2 linked regions of the Diceros bicornis minor genome follow. The protein of the gene in region 2 purifies or fractionates together with the protein of the main gene of each other region. This does not show direct contact. Links are inferred from orthologs where the notes say so. Each region holds a gene or a part of one and is shown on either strand. Other genes may lie near its edges.

Region 1 (9,957 bases), on a different chromosome or scaffold from region 2:
TGTTTCCGTGGAGCTTTTATAGCGGTAGAACTAGTGTGCTCCTCTGATAAACAGCTTCTTTAGAAATAGAAAAAAGTAGGTGACAATTGACACATCTGAAATATAGTGAGCCTGCTATGTAATTGTTAAGATATTCTAGTATAATTACTACTGAAGTATAATTACTACTGAAGCTGTCAAAGAAAAAAAAATCCTACATCTACCCCACATCTTGTTTCTAGTTTCAAAGCAGCACATACTTGTTTATTTGCCTCATGGTATTCATCATCACATTATCTTTAGTTTCTGTTATAAATAGCAATAGAAGTAGAGAACATTAAAAAAAAGTATATTAAAAACTAGATCTCAGGTCACCAAAAACGATATAACCTTCACTTCTAGCAAATAAACATAAGATAGTTACTAATAAAGATATTGTTGTCAGAGATGGACAATAATCTCCAACATAAAATGTTTCCATGATAATCTATTTTTATATTTGTAACTGTTCCCTATTTTCCTGATAAAAAATAATTAGTATAACTAAAATATCCATGTTACATTATCATAATCTGATTTCCAAGTCTTAAATGATTCAAGATAGTCAAGCACAAAAGAAACGCCATTACTAAATATTTTCCTTTCTACCATTATTCTTTCAAAATTCTAATAATTCACTTGATGAGAAGTTTCAATAGACTGTATACTATATTTGCCAAATTCATAGCTGAGATGAGGATTACAAAAACATCTAGAAGATGAAAAGTTTCAAAGTATAAATATTCTCTTTCAACAAATAATAAAAAATGTCAAAAAGAAGTCAATTAAAGACTTTATAAATGACAATACAATTTCACCACACTACTAACACAATGTAAAATGTGTGCATGGGTAGACACTACTTTCCACTACCTCTGTAAAAGAGATTTAGATAAAATACTTAAAATCACTATTATGAAGCACACAGAGGATATTTCATAAAACAAGCCCTTCACCTTTAAGAGAGCCACAAATTATAACTCATAAAATCAGTTTTAAGTGTGGCCTCAACTCAATTTTCTTAAGTATGAAATCATAGTACTTAAATTCAGTAAAGAATAATTTTACATAATAAAACTGCACCACCTGAAGTTCTACAAGACACAAAATTGCACAACATAGCTTCATTTTTGTAGGAGTTTTTTTCCCACAAAATCACATGGAATGTCAAGACCACAAATATTAAGCTGTTTGTAGTAAAATCCACTATTTGCAGACTGAAGGCTGGTGCTCTCTCCTCTGATTCTTCTCCATGTTTCCAGCCTCCACCATAGCAGACAATATTTATATCAATAACTTTTCAAGTAAAAACCTCAGAGTTATTTCTGAGTTCAAATATCCATTTTATCATCAAATCGTATTGTCCTGTTACCATTTCTCCCAAACCTGCAACTTCCTTTTCATTCCTTCAGCTACATCCTTATTACTGACCCTAGACTTTTACCACTAAACTATTGTACCTCATTCTTATGAGATAATTCTCAAAATTATCTTTAATTCCACTGCCAAAGTTATCTTCTGTCCTTGACATTTTGCCTCTGCCACCTATCTCACCTCAGCTTTTCAAGGCCGTTGCACTACATTTTTATTCTCCTCAAGAGCCTTATCCTTACCAACATATTCATTTATAAGGTTGCCGCTGACTTTCACCTTGCCTTAAAAATGCCAGTTTCTTTACACTTCTGGTAAATATACTAATTCTCTCTTCAGGTAACACCTTTGCTCCTAATCCATCTGAATATGGAATTCCTTTTACATTTAGCCCCCAAACACAAGAGTATTTATTCAGACAGTTTTAGCACAATAATTACCTACATTATTTCTTTAGCTGTTTGCATATCCATGTTATCCCTCTTGGACTGTAGGGATACAGATAAGGGCTGCATCTTTAAAAGCATTCTGTACAACACCTATCTACTAAGTCACTTGACCCAGGTAAGATGATTCACTAAATGAAGCTATTAGGAAAAGCTTAAATAAACAAAAAATAAATATGTTTTTTTAAAAAAAATCTCTATGGTTTAACTTTAAAACATCTATGACCTTCCATTTCCATGGACAGCTGCCATACTTTGGCTTCTACTAAGCTTCACTCTTACTACTCTATTAATTTTCAAAGCACTAGAATTTAAAGTGTAAGTTGATGGTTGATATAACGTATACACTTTTACACCTCGCGATTAGATTCTTTGAAAATCAGCAATGTCAACTCTAAGAATTCTGAGATATAACTCAATCTTCGCACAAGGCAACTGTTTCAGCACCAAGAGGAGAAAACAGCGCATCTTCTGATTTGGGGGTTCCCTTCCCTGCAACTGGTTTAGACTAGTTTCTGTATCCCAGGGGCTGTCGATTAGGAAAACTCAATAAATCACCATTAACATCTGAAAAGAATACCAGAGAAAGGCAATCCGTTTACTTAAAAGAGAGGAAGGGGTATCTCCACGGATATCTCCTTTTCACAAAACTCGGCAGCCAATTTAGGCTTTGCATTCAGTAACTACCGACAGAGATTTTTTTCTACCTAATAAAAGCAAGTCTCTTTCAATTTAGTCCCTTCTCGAGCACCGTCTCAACCTGTCAGAATTTGACAAGGGGAAAAAAATTAAACAGAAGTGGTGGGGGGAGACACTAGGATTCCCGTCTACATCGCTTCTTTTTCCGAAATCACATCAGTTAAGTCCTGGATTTCCTTCTCTTCGAACTAAGCCCTCAGATGCCAAATATAGTTCCTTAACCCCTGCCTCGCCACTCAATTACACATAAACCTTGCCAACTACAGAACCACAGCAGAAACCCCTACAAATCGGCTGGCTATTCATCTCGGAAGTCATGCCCTGCAGCGACTGCCTATCGCCGAACTGAGAGATATTACCCAAATACAACGCCAGGGAATCAGACATGCAGAGCACACACGGCGTCCGCGAGGGAGGGAAACGCGACCCGGGAAAAGTGCGCTCCTCGCAAACCTCGGGACCATCCAGAGGGGGGGTTCCCAAAAGGGAGGGGGACAGAGGAGCCCGAGTCGGGGAATCCTTCCCTCTCAAGTAAAAAAGGCCGGATCCCTGGCCGCAGGCTGCAGCCCGTCGCTCTAAGGAAAGGAAGGGGCGGGCAGAGGGCCCTTTGCTCGCGAAGGCGGACGGCAGACACTTTCCGAGGTCCGGGTGTAAGCCGAGCCCCCACCTCCCGGGGGAGACGACGGGTGTCCCATGGGTGGCTAAGGGGAAGCCTGGCTCGCGAGGGGCAGCCGGAGGCGGAGCAGAGTTTCGCCGGATGAACCCCCGTGTCGTGTCCGGCCGGTGCCCCGGGCATGCATAGCGAGAGGGCCGCCCGGGTGTGGGGAGGGGAGGGAGGGTGGAAATGGGATTCCCCCCTCTCTCGGAAGAGTACTAGTCGAGGAAGCGCGGGCCCGCCGAGAGTCCAGTGCTTCAGACTGCGGAGCCGGGATCCCGCCGCCTGCGCCGGCAGCAGGAGCCCCGCAGCGCCAGCCGCACCGGCCCCTCGGTCCCCCGGGGCCAGGGACTTTGGCTGCGAAGGAACTGGGGCCTGACATCCCACGGGGCCGGCCCCAGCTCCCGGGGGGCCCCGCGGGAACACCCCAACCTCCAGCAGCTGTCGGCAGTTGTAAAACGCCCTCCCCCGTCCCCCTCGTCAGCCTTCCCTCCTCCCGGGGCCGCAGAGAAGGGTCACCACAGGCGAGAAGCCGGAGGCAAGTCGGGGACAGCGGCCGCGGCGGTCCCGGATCTCCTCCCCCGGTTACCTGTGAGGACTCCGACGCGGATTTGATGGTCGTGGTTAGTGAGGATCATTCCCTCGGTCGCCATGTTTCCCAGCGCAGTCACCGCACTGACAGGAACCGGGAGAAGCTGGAGCACGGAGCGCGCGGGCCGGGAGCGCGCTCGCCTCGGAGAGCGCGAGAGCGAGAGCGCCCGGGGAGCGGGAAAGGAGGGGTGGGGGGCGGCCGAGCGCGCGGCGGCCTGAGCCGGGAGAGGCCGGGCCCGGAGTGCGCGAGTCCGCGGGAGGGGGCGGAGTCAGGGCGCGCGACCCCGAGCCCGGGTCGGAGGCGGAGAGCTGCGAGTAGTGGACGCGGTGGCCTCCCCAGGAGGCGCGCGGAGGCGTCCGAGCGAGGCCGGAGAGGCGCTGGCCGCTCTGCGGAGCGGGAGACCCAGGGCAGCTAGATGGCTGGAGACCGAGGGGAAAGGAGAGCACACGCTCTGGAGGTTGCGGGGGCGGACTCGAGAAAGGGCGGAGCCACAGCGCGAGGCGTGGAACTCGTGGAGAGTGAGGGGAGGAGTGCTAGCTCGTTTGCGGAGTACTGGCAGCGCGAAGGAGCCCGCCCAGCCCGGGGAGGAGCGGAGAACGCTCCTGGGCGCGCGGGTAGCTCCGGATTGGCCGGAAGAACGCGGAGCGGGTGCGCGCGAGACACGAACGCAGCCTCCGCCGCGGCCCAGACAGAAGCAATCCCCTGCCGAGCCGGGCTCCTCGTCGGTTGTCGGCGCCCTGGGCCGGCTCTGGAGGCCGCCGAGCCGCTCTCCCGAGGGAACGAGAGGTGGGCTCAGCGTGCGACGCCTTTCCTCGCAGCCGTCGGGAGCGGCCGGCCGACCCCCTGAAGCCGCCAGAGAACCTGGAGGTAGCTTAGAAAGCTGTCTGGATGGCCGAACCGCGGATACTATGACAGAGAGCCGGCGTGGGCGAAGAAGGAAGTCTGTCCCGCCTCATCTTCCCGCTTGTTTCTTCAGTCGGCTCGCCCTGCCGCAGGATTTCCGCCTCTCCGGTGCTTCAGGATCCCATCTCCAAGTCTGCACCTGCGTGACCATCCTCACAAGGGAAGCTTAGGAGTCTGCGGCACAGCATCTTGAGTGGAGATACCTGGTTTCTTTTCCTCCCGCTGTCCCGTGATTTTGTGGCCTTAAGCGTCATCGCCACGGTCTCTGCTTTTAGATGAAAAGCACCAGTCTTGGAGAATAAGAACGTGTTCCTCCCACCTGAACCACAATCACAAAATTGGAACCTAGGCCGTGGCAATTGAGTTTCATTTCAGTATTTGTGGGATATGAGACGACCATGAAAATAGCTTTGTTGCCACTTATTTTCATGTGTCTTTCATAAAATGTTATTAATCACCTGTGGCTATTTCACATCGGTTTCGTAGTTCCCGTCTTCCTAGCTCTTTCAACTTCTGAATAAAAATTACATACACGCATATGTATATTTTTTCCCTCATGTTCTCAACCATGTTAAAACCTGGGAAGCATAAAAATGAAAGCAAAGTGTCAAAAAATGTATAATCAACGTTTGTATGCAGCTAAAATCTCAGTCAATTTGGTGATTATGAGTTTTTTGTTGTTCCAGTTGGAACATGAGCGTATCCTCTAACTGAAGATTTAGATTGTGATGTATTTCATTTTAAATAATGGGAGTATAAAGGGGATGATTAGTGGATTGACGAGGGGTAAAATAAATTAGTAAAAATTTTTTTGAGTATGTGTATTGCTAGTATTTTTGACAGTGGATTAAAAATCGAAGCCAGATCTTGAACCCACTTCCTATAATAATCTATAACCATACAGCCTGGTGGCTAAGGGATTCTTAACTACTTTCAAATGAGAGATATATATGTGGAAGTATGTCCAACAGAATGGTTTCCTTAATCTCAAACTGAAGACGATGAACAAGTAGTTGGTTACGTTGTTACCTTTCTAACCTATCTTTATTCTCTACAGCACCCTCTGATTTGAAATGATTAGAAAATATCTTGAATTTTTAGAGAGAGAAATTCTAAAGCTGCTCACTAACAGGTCCTGTGACCTTAAACAAGTTTGGACCTTTTTCTTCATCTTTTAAACAAGGTAGTGGACTAAATAAGCACCCCTTAAGTAAAGTGGTAGAGAAAATAAGCACCCTTCAACTTAGAATACTATTCTGCAAATATTCATGGAAAGAAGCTGGCACTTCTATTTCACAAATAAATATAGAAGACAAGGGACTAACTTTCTGCATCTATGAAAATAGTAATGGTGAAATTCATTAAAATTTAATTAGGAAAGGTGAATATGAATTAAGCCTTCTAGCGTACGATATATGGAGGTTTGTTTGCTGAACTACTAAAATTGCTGAAAAAAGTAATATTAATAGAACTAAGCTGGAGAATTATAATAGCTGCTTGTCTTCCAACAATTTTTCTCAAGTATATTCATCTCTGCCAAATTTAGCATGGCGTAACAAAATTTACACAGGAAAAACCCAGTGCCCTTACTATCTAGTATGACCTTCTTTTACTCCTGGTTATTGAATGAATATTGCGGTATGCACATGCTCTTTTATCCCTGTTACAGTGCAACATTTCTTCAAAATTCATCCTGAAATCAAATATTAAAATTTTCTGGAAGGTAGAAAAAGAGTAGCATTTCCAAATATTGACATGTATCAGGAAATATGTTGTGAAGGGGGAAAACCAGAGGTAAAAAAGTTGAAAGTTTGTATGGGAAAAATTAGAAGTGCCCAGGGCTTTATTCTCTCCATTCTTAAGGTTTTAATAATGAAAACTATAGGAGTTTACATTAACTGAAAATTAACATAAAAGATAGGTAAACATCTGGCTTTCATAATGATTTTCCTTATGAAGATGAAACTATCAGTAGAAATGAATTACTGAATGAATGAAGGTTGAATTTTTTCCAGTAGTGTATATACACAACTCTACTGGTACTTGAGTTTTTCTGTGGTTAATCACAATTTCAATATAAATAAGGTTCAAGTTTACTAGGCTTTTCTGGGGTCAGACTCTCCTCATTAGCACTAGATGAGCAAGAATGAATTTGGTAACAGATTATTCTTCCTCTAAGGCATATTCCGCTCTTTCCTCTTTCCTGATTGGCTAATGGCCCAAACTAAAACTAAGGCAATTAAAAATGGGTGCAAGCAACATTTTGAATAAATGTCACTGAGTTGTACACTTTAAAATGGTTAATTTTACGGGCCGGCCCCGTGGCTTAGCGGTTAAGTGCTCGCACTCCGCTGCTGGCAACCCAGGTTTGGATCCCGAGTGCGCACCGATGCACCGCTTCTCCAGCCATGCTGAGGCCATGTCCCACATGCAGCAACTAGAAGGATGTGCAGCTATGACATACAACTATCTACTGGGGCTTTGGGGGAAAAAATAAATAAATAAAATTATTTTTAAAATGGTTAATTTTATGTGTATTTAGCACAATAAAAAAAAAATGGGTGCAAGGTGAAGCTCTGGTTGATTTTAACCTGTTTTTCCCCAAAGGAAGCTAGATTATAGTGAAGATGAATTTTAGACTGGCTGAATCAGAGAGTGTATTAGTTCCTAGGGCTGCTGTAACTAAGTACCACAAACTGAGTGGCTTAAAACAACAGAAATTTATTCTCTCACAGTTCTGGAAGCTAGAAGTCTGAAATCAAGCTGTCAGTAAAGCCATACTCCCTCTGAAGGCTCTAGGGAAGAATTCTTCATTGCCTCTTTCCAGCCTCTGGTGGTTGCCAGCAATCCCTGGCCTTCCTTGGCTTGTGGCTGCATCCCTCCCATCTTGGTCTCTGTCTTCACATGTCTTTCTTCCCTGTGTGTATCTTGCCCTTCTTATAAGGATACCAGTCATTGGATTTAAGGCCCACTGTAATCCAGTATGACCCAATTTTAACTAGTTACATCTACAAAGACTCTATTTCCAAATAAGGTCATATTCTGAAGTTCTGTGTAGATGTGAAACTTGGAGGGACACTATTCAACCCAGTACAGGCAGTGATAGATTACATTACTGTGTATTCTCATGAAAACATATAAATTAGAAATTCAACCTATCAGAAAAGAAGGTTCAAAGCTTTCTTTAAAAGCTAGGATTTAGAAATTAGACATACTCTTGGAGGAAGTACAGATGTATAGAATAGAGAATATGGGTAAATTTTTAATATTTGACCTAAGTAGCCTAATGCTTTTCCCCCAGAAATAGTTTTCTAAATTAGAGTTTTCCCAAGTCTGATGAGATAAATTTACTCATTCCTACTAATGAAATTGACATTTTGCTTTCAGTTCTGATGCCTTTGTTATCTTTTAGGGAAGAGAGGCTGAACCACCTCAATTGCTCATGGAGTTTGATGGAACTTATTTGGGAACAACTAGGATAATGTTTTTCAATGTCTGCCATGTTTATTAAAATAAAGTTGAACTTTTCCTTGTACTTTTGCTATTAAATTTCTGCTGCCCAGATTGCTGCTTGAAAAATTGTTTTGTGCCCTGGTCTTTTGTATTTTTCCCAACTTTACTCTCTTTCTCTGAGGTCCCAACTGGAAATTCAGATGTACAAGAACGTTTTTGGTTGCAAATGACTGATCCTAGTATAAGCCAAAACGAATTCATTGGCTCATGCAGGTAGGAAGTCTAGATATGTGTATTGCTTCAGGATGTGGCTAGATTCAAGATCTGAAACTATGTCATCAAGATGCCATCTTTCAGCTATGTTTTCTTCTTTGTTGATTTAATTTTCACATTGGCTCTTCCTACATTGTGGCAAAGATGGTATTGGCTTCTCTAGGCTATAATTTAGATCAATAGTTTTTGAGTCAGTCTGGGAATACCTGGAGACCCAAAGACCCTTTCAGAGGTTCTGCAAGGTCAAAAATGTTTTCATACTAATATTAAGGCATTATTTGTCTTTCCACTCTCATTTTCTCATTAGACACAGTGAAATTTTCCAGAGGCTACATGATGTGTAATGATATCATCACTCTGATAGCTAATGGAATGTGTATTTGTATAGTTTTATATTTTAAAAAATTAGCATAGTAAATATGAATAGATATAATAGATATAAGCTATATTTTTAAGGGTGCAAAGAGGTCCTGAGACCAATATCTTGAGAACCATAGATTTAGATCATGTCCCTATCCCCAAAGGCAAGGGGAAAGGCATTCTCTGATTGGTTAGATTTCGGTCATGTACTCACCCAGAGAATGGGCATCAGGTGCACCCCTACCAAACGGACTAAGATCAAGGAAGGATGGATCTAGGTACTGTATGTAAGGCTAGTGCCTTGACACATTAGCAGTTAGTTCAACTCTTCTTACAGACTCCTATGGCTCTCCACCATTACTATAGATTTTGTTCTTTTCTAAGGGCTCTAATTTATACCTTTAGTACTACTTGCATGTTAATAAAGAAACTGGGAACAAAAAATTTTGATTTCTAAAGAAAGCATTGGTTTTTCTCCCTTCTTAATTCAAAGAAAGTGTAGACTATAAGGGAGGAGGACAATATTTGCTAGAAGAGGAAAGAATTATTAGATAAGAGAAAGGAGAGTGAAATTTGTTAAAAGAAAAAGTAACATTAAGTGACCAGAAGCTATTTGGTTTCTTAAATGGGCTCTGTCTACAGGGCCTTCAATCTGTAGGATTCAGTAGATATAGGTCAAGAAAAGATAGTCCCAAGCTTAACAATTGACATGAATTGAGTTTAAGTGAACTTTTTAAAACAAAAGCATCGTGCTTTTCTAAATTATTATTATTAATAATCGGTTTCCATGTAATTAAACTTAAAGTCCAATTGTTACCAGACACATACCCAGGTTCTTTACCCACCACACAAGAGGGGCCAAATAAAACTGGAACGCCAGGCTTATGGCAAAGAAAGAGTTTTTATTTTAGGTGACGTCAGCCGGGAGACGAGAGCTTTCAAATTTGTCCCGTCTCCCCAAAAGATGGGAGGCAAGGAGTTTAAAAGTTGTGAGGAATGCAACTGCTTGTAGGGAGGGGGAGCCTGTGGCCTTGCTGGTCAGCGCTTTCCCACCAGCCTGCCTTTGGCCCTGTGAGGCTGCTGGCAGGGAGGAGGATGGCAAGATAAGGGAATCACAGGTGGGTGTCCTTCAACTGTCTCTGTCTCCGTGGTGGATGGTGGATTCTGGCACCAGCAAGCCAAGGAGT
Region 2 (9,943 bases):
ATCCTTGGAAAAGTATGGTGAGTGGACTGAAGAGAGAAGAATAAATGCAAGGAAATCAAGACAGTGAACCACCGCAGGAACCCTCCAAGACTCAATGGTGGACTGAAGTAAGATAGTGGCAGTAGGGATTCAAGACATTCATCTAAGGGACACAATAATAAGACAAACTTTGCTGTTGGAGAAGATAAACAATAAACAACAATAAAAGCATACCCTTTGAAAGAGTTACTAAGAAAATAACACACTATGAAAGAGAATAATGGAGGGGCTTACTTTACAAGGGGTCAGGTGTTAGGAAAGGCTTCTTAGAGACGGCATTTATGCTGAGAACAAAAGAGTAAAAAGGCCCTAAAAGCAAAAGAGAGGAGAAAAATTAAGTAGAAAGAAAAAAAGCTTGCGCATTCCAGGAGGACCACTGTGGCTACTAAGCCTTGTAAACTGGGGAAGAGTAGCACAAGATGAGGCTGAAGAGCAGGATTAGGAGCTTTTTACTCCAAATAAAAGACGATGACACTGCAGGATTTTAAGTAAGCAATCAAGACAACACATTTGGAGCTATTACAACAGTCTAAATGTGAAAGCAATGGAGGCAGAGAAAAGAAGACACATTGGAGGTCCCGGCCCCGTGGCTTAGCGGTTGGGTGTGCGCGCTCCGCTGCTGGCGGCCCAGGTTCGGATCCCGGGCGCGCACCGACGCACCGCTTCTCTGGCCATGCTGAGGCCGCGTCCCACACACAGCAACTAGAAGGATGTGCAGCTATGACATACAACTATCTACTGGGGCTTTGGGGGGAACAAAAATAAATAAATAAAATCTTTAAAAAAAAAGAGATTCTGCAATTTTAAAATCACAAGAGGAGCGTTATCTGAGGACAGTGCCCTTTTCAACAATATCCAAAAAACACTTCTCACTATGTTTTACGTCATTGACAAGAAATGCCTTTGTTGTCTAAATTTTCAAAGTTCAACAAACATTTACCCAACTCAAAATTCCACACTGGGGAGGGGAAGGAGCATGTTAACGCCTTCTTCACAGTTTATAAAGACAAATTAGTAGCAGAGTAAAAACTGGCTTAAGGCTCAGATTATGGGCTAAACTATTCTGTTAACATTGTCTGAGACATTCTATTAAAGTTTTAGCTACATTACCAACTGAAATTTGGGACTAGAACCCTGTGGTTAAAAAAGAAAAGAGTAGGGGCTGGCCCCGTGGCTTAGCGGTTAGGTGTGCGCGCTCTGCTGCTGGCGGCCCGGGTTCGGATCCCGGGCACGCACCGATGCACCGCTTGTCCGGCCGTGCTATGGCAGCGCCCCACATACAGCAACTAGAAAGATGTGCAACTATGACATGCAACTATCTACTGGGGCTTTGGGGAGAAAAAGGGAAAAAAAGGAGGAGGATTGGCAATAGGTGTTAGCTCAGGGCCGGTCTTCCTCAGCAAAAAGAGGAGGATTGGCATGGATGTTAGCTCAGGGCTGATCTTCCTCACAAAAAAAAAAAAAAAAGAAAAGAGTAAATATCTAGAAAGGGCACCTTTCTCTTCTTTCAGCAGGACCCTCTCCGAAAAGCGTGATGGGCTCCCCCAAGGCCCGAAGGCAAGCCTTGACCTCCGAGTCATCTGTGGAAACGTTGATTTGCCGGGCTCGCTTCCTTCTCTCAAACTCGGCTAATACTTCAGCCTGTCGCTCACTGATGTGCTCTTCAATTTCAAACACTTCTCCTATAAAAAGAACAGGAAACATCAGCATAATCACCAGATCTTCTTCAAATAGAGGAAAAGAAATAATTTCTCACAATTAGAGTCTGTGTATGCTACTAGGGAAAGTCAACTGTCTAATCTATTAAGCACTTTATAGATATAGTTTACTCTTTCTCAGTTTATTAAATTATGCCAAACACAGAAAATTAAATGATACAGCTTTAAGAGGCAGGAAAATGGTTCAAGTCATGTTGTTTGATTTGGCAACCTTACACCCATATAAACACACAGCTTACATGAGATGAGAAAGAGTACGGAGCATCTTTAGCAAATGAGTTAAATGGCTCTTCTATCCAGAAGATAAAATAGAAATGCGGTTTTAACAATTGCCAAAGCTATTCTCTAAAACAGTCCCAGTATCGGGACACTTACAAATGAAACTAGTAAACTAGAAAGAATTACCATGAAAATGATATTCCTTGACTCGAAGGCTTTTTGGATAATCTAGCAGCTGGTTTTTTTTTTTTTTTTTTGTGAGGAAGATCAGCCCTGAGCTAACATCCACGCCAATCCTCCTCTTTTTTGCTGAGGAAGACTGGTCCTGAGCTAACACCTATCGCCATTCCCCCTCCTTTTTCTCCCTTTTTCTCCCCAAAGCCCCAGTAGACAGTTGTATGTCATACTTGCACATCCTTCTAGTTGCTGCATGTGTGACGCTGCCTCAGCATGGCTGGACAAGCAGTGCGTCGGTGCGCACCCGAGATCTGAATGCGGGCCGTCAGTAGCGGAGCGCGAGCACTTAACCGCTAAGTCACGGGGCCGGCCCCTCTAGCAGCTAGTTTTAAAACTCACACCAAATACAAGCATTTGGATGAAAAATGAGAAGAACAGCGGTGATGCAGTTATGTTTAAAAACAGCATAAATGGTTAAAAATGTCTGTAAAGTGCATGTGTATAGAAAAGAAAATGTGTAGGAGGATCAATGAGAAACCTGAAAGAGATCCTTTCTGCAAAGAAATCTTTTCATTTTATACCATTCTGTACTGTCTGAATTTATGACAAACATGTATAATTTTATTTTAAAAATACAGTAGGCCACCAGTTACTGACATGGAAAGATATCCTCAATAGTACATAGAGTATAAAATACAAGTTACAAAACTATTTGTATATCATGGTTTCATTTATGGAAAAAAATTATACATTTTCATAGCTTTATTAAATTCTCAGAAAGATATACACCCAATTAATAAGCATTACAGGATTTTATACTTCACAATTCTACATTGTTTGATATTTTTCAAAATAAAAATAACTATTACTTATATAATTTAAAAAACATTTCATTTTGAGGGAAAAGTAATTGCAAAACTAAAAAAACGGAGAATATTATGAACGACAGTAGCTCCAAACCAATGCCAGAACTATGCTAGATCTCCAGAAGACAAACGGAATCACTTTGAAGCCAAATACACGCTGAATAAACTCCTGACAAAATTACTAACAATTCACGGAAGAAAAACTGTATAAAAGGTTTTAAGAAAAAGGCGTTCTGGATGATGATAAGCGGGGTAGGCAAAGTAAAACCTTACACAGATGCAAGTTTAAAACTGCAATTTTATGACACTATAAAACTAGTGATATCTAAGTTTAGGAAGGTATTCATTACAGAAAAGTTGAGCACCAAAGGTAAACATGGACTCACAATTTGCATCTTACCAGAGGTTATGTTAATATTTCCTGCTTCAATTCCTGCTTTAAGTCCTTCTTTTCCCAAAATCCCAGACTCTCCTTTGGCCAGACGCTCCCTCTCCTTCTCTTCCAAACTTCCATAATAGATGTGTGGCTTCTTCACAACAGGAGCGACTAAGTCATCAGGTGCCTTAGTTTTGGTCGCCTGCTAAATCAAAGACCTGGATTAACCTAAGGCTTCACCTTAGCAATTTACCGGCCTTCCCCAAAGGATGAGGCTCATCCTGAGCGTCAGTCCTATTTCTTCCCGAACGGAAACGACAAGTTGGACACCTTAAGATGCGTTTTCACTGATTGAGGGGGGTGTTTCTCAATCACTTAAGTTTTGCAGACAGGAAGAAGTTGAGGATACTCGTGCATTTCTCTTGGTGATTTTCCTATCAAAGGTTTGCTTTTAAACACGTTTACTTCATTCTGTTGGAAGTGCAATGTCTTCTGCGGTTTTACGACACTTCCAGGGTTATTGCTCATCACAGGGGAAATATCAAGGATAACTGAAATAGCCAAGGCGATGTAAGGGGGAAACAAGTTACAAAGATGCTGGTCTATACACTTCAAACGTTTTCAGACGTCAGGCTGTAGATAGGAAGAAAGAAGGCCTCATTACAATTAAGAGGTCTGACACGGACATACATCTCGGCCAAGGCACTACGTCCTCCCTTTCAGAGCTGCGTTTTTGGACCCGTGGGAAGAGATATTTACCGTTCGCGGGTGTAGCGAGTGATGCAAATAAGCTAAAGCGCATGAAAGCGCTGAGGGATCGGGAACACGCTGCTCCTCCTCACACCTCCACCGCCTAGCCCGTTCCCTAACGGCCCCATCCCGCTGGACTCCCCACCCCTCGGCGCTCCCTGCCAGAGTGAGCTGAGCTCTGTACCGTGGAGGAGGCTCGTGAGGAAGCCATGCCGAGCTCTGGAGCCGCGAAGCCCCAGCGAAACTCGACCTCTACGTTTCAGACCGTCCACCGCGCGCCCAGCAAAGCGGAACTGCGTCACCTACCGGAAGTGGGCCGACAGCCGGCGCAGCATCGTGGGCGGCGTGGAGCATGACGGGAGTCGTAGTAGGACAGATTCTGGGCGCGTCGAGAGGCGTGGCTTGTAGTCCTCCGAGGAAAGCACGCGGAGGACGAGGTTCTGCGAGGAGAGAGGTTGAGAGTAGTCTGGGAAGTGTAGTCCAGCTGGCCTGGCAGAAGAGTCGTAGTGGGCGCCGAGGTTCTGGGAAGGGGCTGAGCAGCCTTGAAAAGAGGTAGGTGCGTCGAGGCGCGCGGCTCCGGGCTGAACTCGGGAGCGAATCTAGGGCTTCCGGGGCCTGCGGTCCCTCCCGGCCCGACGCGCGGCTTTACGTCATCCTGGAGCGGAGGTCCCTGTTGCCATGGAAACCGTCACCCTGGACCCCGGGTGCTGCCCTGGAGCTGCGGAAGGAGAGCTGTGCTCGTTCTCCGCTGTCGGGAAGTCCTCTGCCAGGGGCTCCCTCTGAGCTGGATGAATTCGAGCAGTGGCGAGAGAAACAGCTCGAAGAGCACTCTAGCTCCAAAGTAGAATAAAGACCCGGCGGAGGAGCCAGGGCCTGATTTTGTTGTTTGTCTTCAGCCCAGTCTTTGTATCAGATTCAGAGTGAGATGATGGATGTGAGGCGTCAGGTAATCTGCACGCAAGCAACTCTGCATGGCCCTGCCTTCCGCTGCGTGCTGGGGCATCAGAGATGAACAAGACGAGGCTTTTGCCCCCATGGCGAGGGTGGAGATGCTTAAAATGTTGGTGTTTCCCGAGCTGACAGAGCCCCTCCCCGCCCCTACGCCCAAGGACAATTACAATAATAATGGCTGTTATTTATTGAGCGTTTACTAAATGCCAAGTTATGTTCCTGGAACTTACTTTGCATTACGTCATTGAATCCATACAACAACAGAGTACGGTTACAGAAACTAAAATCCAGTGAAGGATGAAGCTAATTGTTTGTGATAAGTGGTGGATGGGATTAGAACCTCTGCCCTCTGCCCTTTTGCCTCTAGAGAGCACTTGTACCCATTACTCTATATTGCTTCATAGAATTTTTCACAGTTTGCCGAAGAGTTAAAATGCAAAGCAGTTTTTTCTTTCTTTTACGCATCCACCGCTCCCACCGCCCCCCTCGAACTTTGGCTCCCTCTACCACTTGCCTACACTGGAATCAAGATATTATCTGATTTAATGTAAAGCAATTTGAAATGTAATGTGCTGGTGTTTTGGGTTGATAATATCACCTGTATTTATCTGATAATATCACCTAAGCTTCGTGGGAGAAGGAAACATTTCTTCCTTTGTATATTTCACAGTCCTTGATACATCCTGGATACATGTAATAATAATTTATGTCTGTAAAAACTTTAAAGGAGCTTTCACTTACATCATTCTCATTACATTAGTCAGTTACATCAATCATCTTACATCAATCCTCACCGTGGAACGTATGTATAATTTTTATAGGAGGCTGACATTTATTAACCAAACTGAACAGCTTCGACGTCATCTGTAAAATAGGGGTAATTTTGTTGGTGTCACAGTTTCTATGTTAAAATAAAAATGTAAAGAATGGGAATGGAAAAGCATAGCACAGTGCTGAAGAAAAGTTCATTTCACTTTAATTGGATCTCAGTTTATTCAACAAAACGTTTACTGACTGGTGATTATAGATACACTCTACTGGATGCTGTGGAGAATATGAAGATGCAATCCACAGATTTTAAACTCAGTTGGGGAGTTTTATTTTCTTCTCAAAAAAATGTTTTTTGTTAGCATAAGCATTACCTAGGGTTTTCAAGCTCTGGAGGGTTCTCTTGAGCCTCTTTGCGTATTTGTTCTCTCTGCCTGGAATGCCCTTAATCTCTTTACTCTGTCTGTCCTTAACCAGTCAACTAAGACATCATCTCTTCCAGGAAGCCCTCCACATTCCTGTCCATCTCACACTCAGCCCAGACTGGATTGGTGCCTGTTTGGTGCCATTGCGTTACCCTTGCCAGAGTTTTATTACACTGTGTTGCAATTTTCTGTTTATGTGTTTGTTTTCCCCACTGACTGTGACTGTGCCTTTTAACTCTGTAGCTGGAGCACAAGAATTGTTTGTTTAATGAATGACATATCCATTTAGGACCTAATTAGATCCTTAGGACAACTCTGTGAATTGGTGAGTTAGAGGGAGTTTTCGTGAGATTTAGTAAATTTATTTTAGCATTTGGGGGTGATCACAAATCTCTCACAATTCTCATGTAGTGTTGATCAAATTTAATGGCTTATATACTCTCCCACTGACTATACTGAATTAAGATGTGATCTTTTAACTTTATTCTCTTAGCTAGAATATTTCTCTGAATGTGACAGGAGCATGAGATTAAAGTGATTGTTACCTAGAATTCTCTTTTATAGGTAGTTTGGCGTTTTAAGTTCTTGAAGAAAGAGTTTTTTGGAATTACAAAGTTGTGGATCTCAATCATGTAATAAAAATGTAATAATCATACACCAAAAGTCTTAGAAGTCTATGTGTGAATCCAAATGAATCTTTTTTTTTTTTTGTGAGGAAGATCAGCCCTGAGCTAACATCTGCCAATCCTCCTCTTTTTGCTGAGGAAGACTGGCCCTGGGCTAATGTCCATGCCCATGTTCCTCTACTTTATATGGGACGCCGCCACCGCATGGCTTGACAAGCGGTGCGTCGGTGTGGCCCGGGTCCGAACCCCGGGCTGCCGCAGCAGAGCATTCGCACTCAAGGGCTACGCCACCAGGCCGGCCCCAAATGAATCTTTTTTATTGCCATTCATTTTAGCAAGCATGCGTACAAACTGATCTTACATTTGCAGCTGAGATTTATCCCCTCCAGTTTTTCCTTCTCTCTGCCTTTTTAACAGCTAATAGTTCACTGGGTCTGGCCTTTGATGTTGATTTCAACATGCTGCGACGAAAACCAACCCGCCTGGAGCTGAAGCTTGATGACATTGAGGAGTTTGAGAGCATTCGAAAGGACCTGGAGGTAAGAGCACAACTTTCAAACCCTTAGGAATATTTAAAACTCCAACTTTTGAACTCCAGACTCTTGTACCAGCAGCTTATTTGAAATCTCTATTTGGACGCTTTACAGCCTCTCAAACTTAATGTATTAGTTTCCTGTGGCTGCCGTAACAAATTACTACACACTTGGTGGTTTCAAACAACAGAAATTTATTCTTTCACAGTTCTGTAGGCCGGAAATGTGAAATCAGTATCACTGGTCCAAAATCAAGGTGTCAGCAGGACTGTGCTCCCTGCAGTCTCTAGGGGAGAATCCGTTCCTCGACCCTTCTAGCTTCTGGTGGCCGCTAGCATTCCTTGACTCGTGGCTGCATCACTCCAATCTCTGCCTCCCTGATCACATTGCCTTCTCCTCTGTCTGTGTCCCACTGCCCCTCTAATAAGGATATATGTAATGGCATTTAGGGCCCACACAGATAATCCAGGATAACGCCCCCACCTCAAGATCCCTAATTTAATCACATGTGTATAGTCCCTTTTCCCATATAAGGCAACATTTTCAGGTTCCAGGGCTTAGGACCTGATAGCTTTGGGGGTCATTATTCAGCCTACTACACTTAACATGTTAAAACAAAAAACTCTTTGATTTCTTCCTCAAACCAGTTTCACCTCAGTGTTCCCCATCTCAGTCTCTGGGCAGTTGCTCAAGCCAGAAACCTGAGTCCCCCTTTTCCTCCCCCTTTGTATTCAATCTGTCCATAAATCTTTGATTTTACCTCCAGAATATTTCCAGAATTTACCCATGTTTTCATCTCCACTGCACAACCCTAGTCCAAGTAACCATCATCTCTCTGTACAATTTCAGTAGCATCCTAAAAATGGTCTTTCTGCTTCCATTTTTGTCTCTTCAATCCATTCTCCATCAGGTATCTAGAATGATCTTTAAAAATTTTCAGATCATGTCATCCCTCTCCTTAAAACTCTTCAGTGGTTTTCTGCACTTAGAATAAAATCTGAATTCCTTATCATGGCCTACAAGATGTGTTTGTTCCGGCCCTTCTCAGGTTTCACCTCCTGCCACTCTGCCTTGCCCTCTGTACCCCAGGCACACTGGCTTGCTTTCATTTCCTTCAAGATGCCAAACTATTCATTACCTGTGGCCTCTGCACATATTATTTCCTTCTGCCTTTAGTGCTCCCCCTCTCTTCATGTCTCAGTTTAAATGTCATTTCCTTAGTCTGACAGGCCTCTTCTGAGCCTATCTTAGTTAGCTGTATCAATCCTATCCATGCTGCCTCCATCTCATTAGGGTCTCTCACAGCACTTTATTCTTTTATTTCATGGCATTTATTATAATTTACAATGATTTGTTTGTTTATTGTAAAACCAATTACATTAGGAACCTTGATGGTGGAAATCATGTCTGTCTTCTTTACCACTTAGTTCCCAGCATCTTGTAAATAGTAGGAGCTTGATATGTTTTTTTTTTCCTGAGGAAGATTAGCCCTGAGCTAACATCTGTTGCCAATCCTCCTCTTTTTTGCTGAGGAAGATTGGCCCTGGGCTAACATCCGTGCCCATCTTCCTCTACTTTATATGGGACGCCACCACAGCATGGCTTGACAAGTGATGTGTAGGTCCGTGCCCAGCATCCGAACCTGTGAACCCCAGGCTGCTCAAATGGAGTGTGCAAACTTAACTGCTATGCCACCAGGCCGGCCCTGACCAATCTTCCTCTTTTTGCTTGAGGAAGATTCACCCTGAGCTAACATATGTGCCAGTCTGCCTCTGTTTTGTGTGTGGGTTGCTGCCACAGCATGGCCACTGACGAGTGGTATAGGTCCGTGCCCGGGGACCGAACCCAGGGTGCCGAAGCAGAGTGCACCGAACTTAACCACTAGGCCACAGGGCCGGCCCCCTCAGTATGTATTTTAAAGTGTAACCTAACCCCACAGTATTAGATGTCCATTAATAAGGCTTAAATTCTTTAGTGGCCTTCAGAATAAGGTCCAGATTCCTTAGGCACGCAACGCCCTTTATGACCTGGTCCTTGCTCATTACTCCACTTTATCTCCCGCTGCTGCATTATCTTTAACTTGAATCTCAGTGCCTCTGCACATTCTGTTCCTTTTGCCTGAAATGCCCTTTCTCTTTCTTTGCCTGCCTAACACCTCATCTTTTGACTCAGCTCCTTCCAGCCAGAAGTCTTCCTAGTCTACCTGTCCCCCGCTGGGTTAGGTTCAACCTCTTCCTCCTGTGCTGACCTCTCTCGTAGGCACTATCACTCTGTTTTAACTATTTGTGTTTCTGTTTTCCCCCACTAGGCCATATGCTCTTTGAAGGCACGAATTAATATATTCTTCTCTGCATCTGTTCCCGGCAGTACCAGGCCCAAAGGAGATGCTCAATACAAGTCTGTTTTCATTTGCTGTCCTAGGAGATATTTTATACTCTATGGCAGAGGACATTATATCTTGTACATGTCCACGAACATAATGGCTTTATTATGTA

The links. The genes of interacting proteins can lie anywhere in the genome.
Region 1: the proteins of PRPF4 (region 2) and GPHN purify together in Homo sapiens (affinity purification with mass spectrometry; 3 studies listed by BioGRID and IntAct, counting the BioPlex papers as one, with this or other methods). This does not show direct contact. The link is inferred for Diceros bicornis minor from reciprocal best matches to the Homo sapiens genes PRPF4 and GPHN.

Annotation. Positions count from the first base shown.
Region 1 is NC_080763.1:15,243,676-15,253,632, reverse strand, and holds the start of GPHN (gephyrin), read right to left. Parts: upstream 4,305-9,957; 5' UTR 3,843-4,304; coding exon 3,779-3,842; intron 1-3,778. UniProt on the Homo sapiens protein: Microtubule-associated protein involved in membrane protein-cytoskeleton interactions. It is thought to anchor the inhibitory glycine receptor (GLYR) to subsynaptic microtubules.
Region 2 is NC_080767.1:21,523,190-21,533,132, reverse strand, and holds the start of PRPF4 (U4/U6 small nuclear ribonucleoprotein Prp4), read right to left. Parts: upstream 4,581-9,943; 5' UTR 4,500-4,580; coding exon 4,452-4,499; intron 4,427-4,451; exon of another isoform or gene 4,357-4,426; coding exon of another isoform or gene 4,330-4,356; intron 3,601-4,329; coding exon 3,420-3,600; intron 1,722-3,419; coding exon 1,535-1,721; intron 1-1,534. Other genes in the region: anaphase-promoting complex subunit CDC26, read left to right, coding at 7,374-7,454. UniProt on the Homo sapiens protein: Plays a role in pre-mRNA splicing as component of the U4/U6-U5 tri-snRNP complex that is involved in spliceosome assembly, and as component of the precatalytic spliceosome (spliceosome B complex).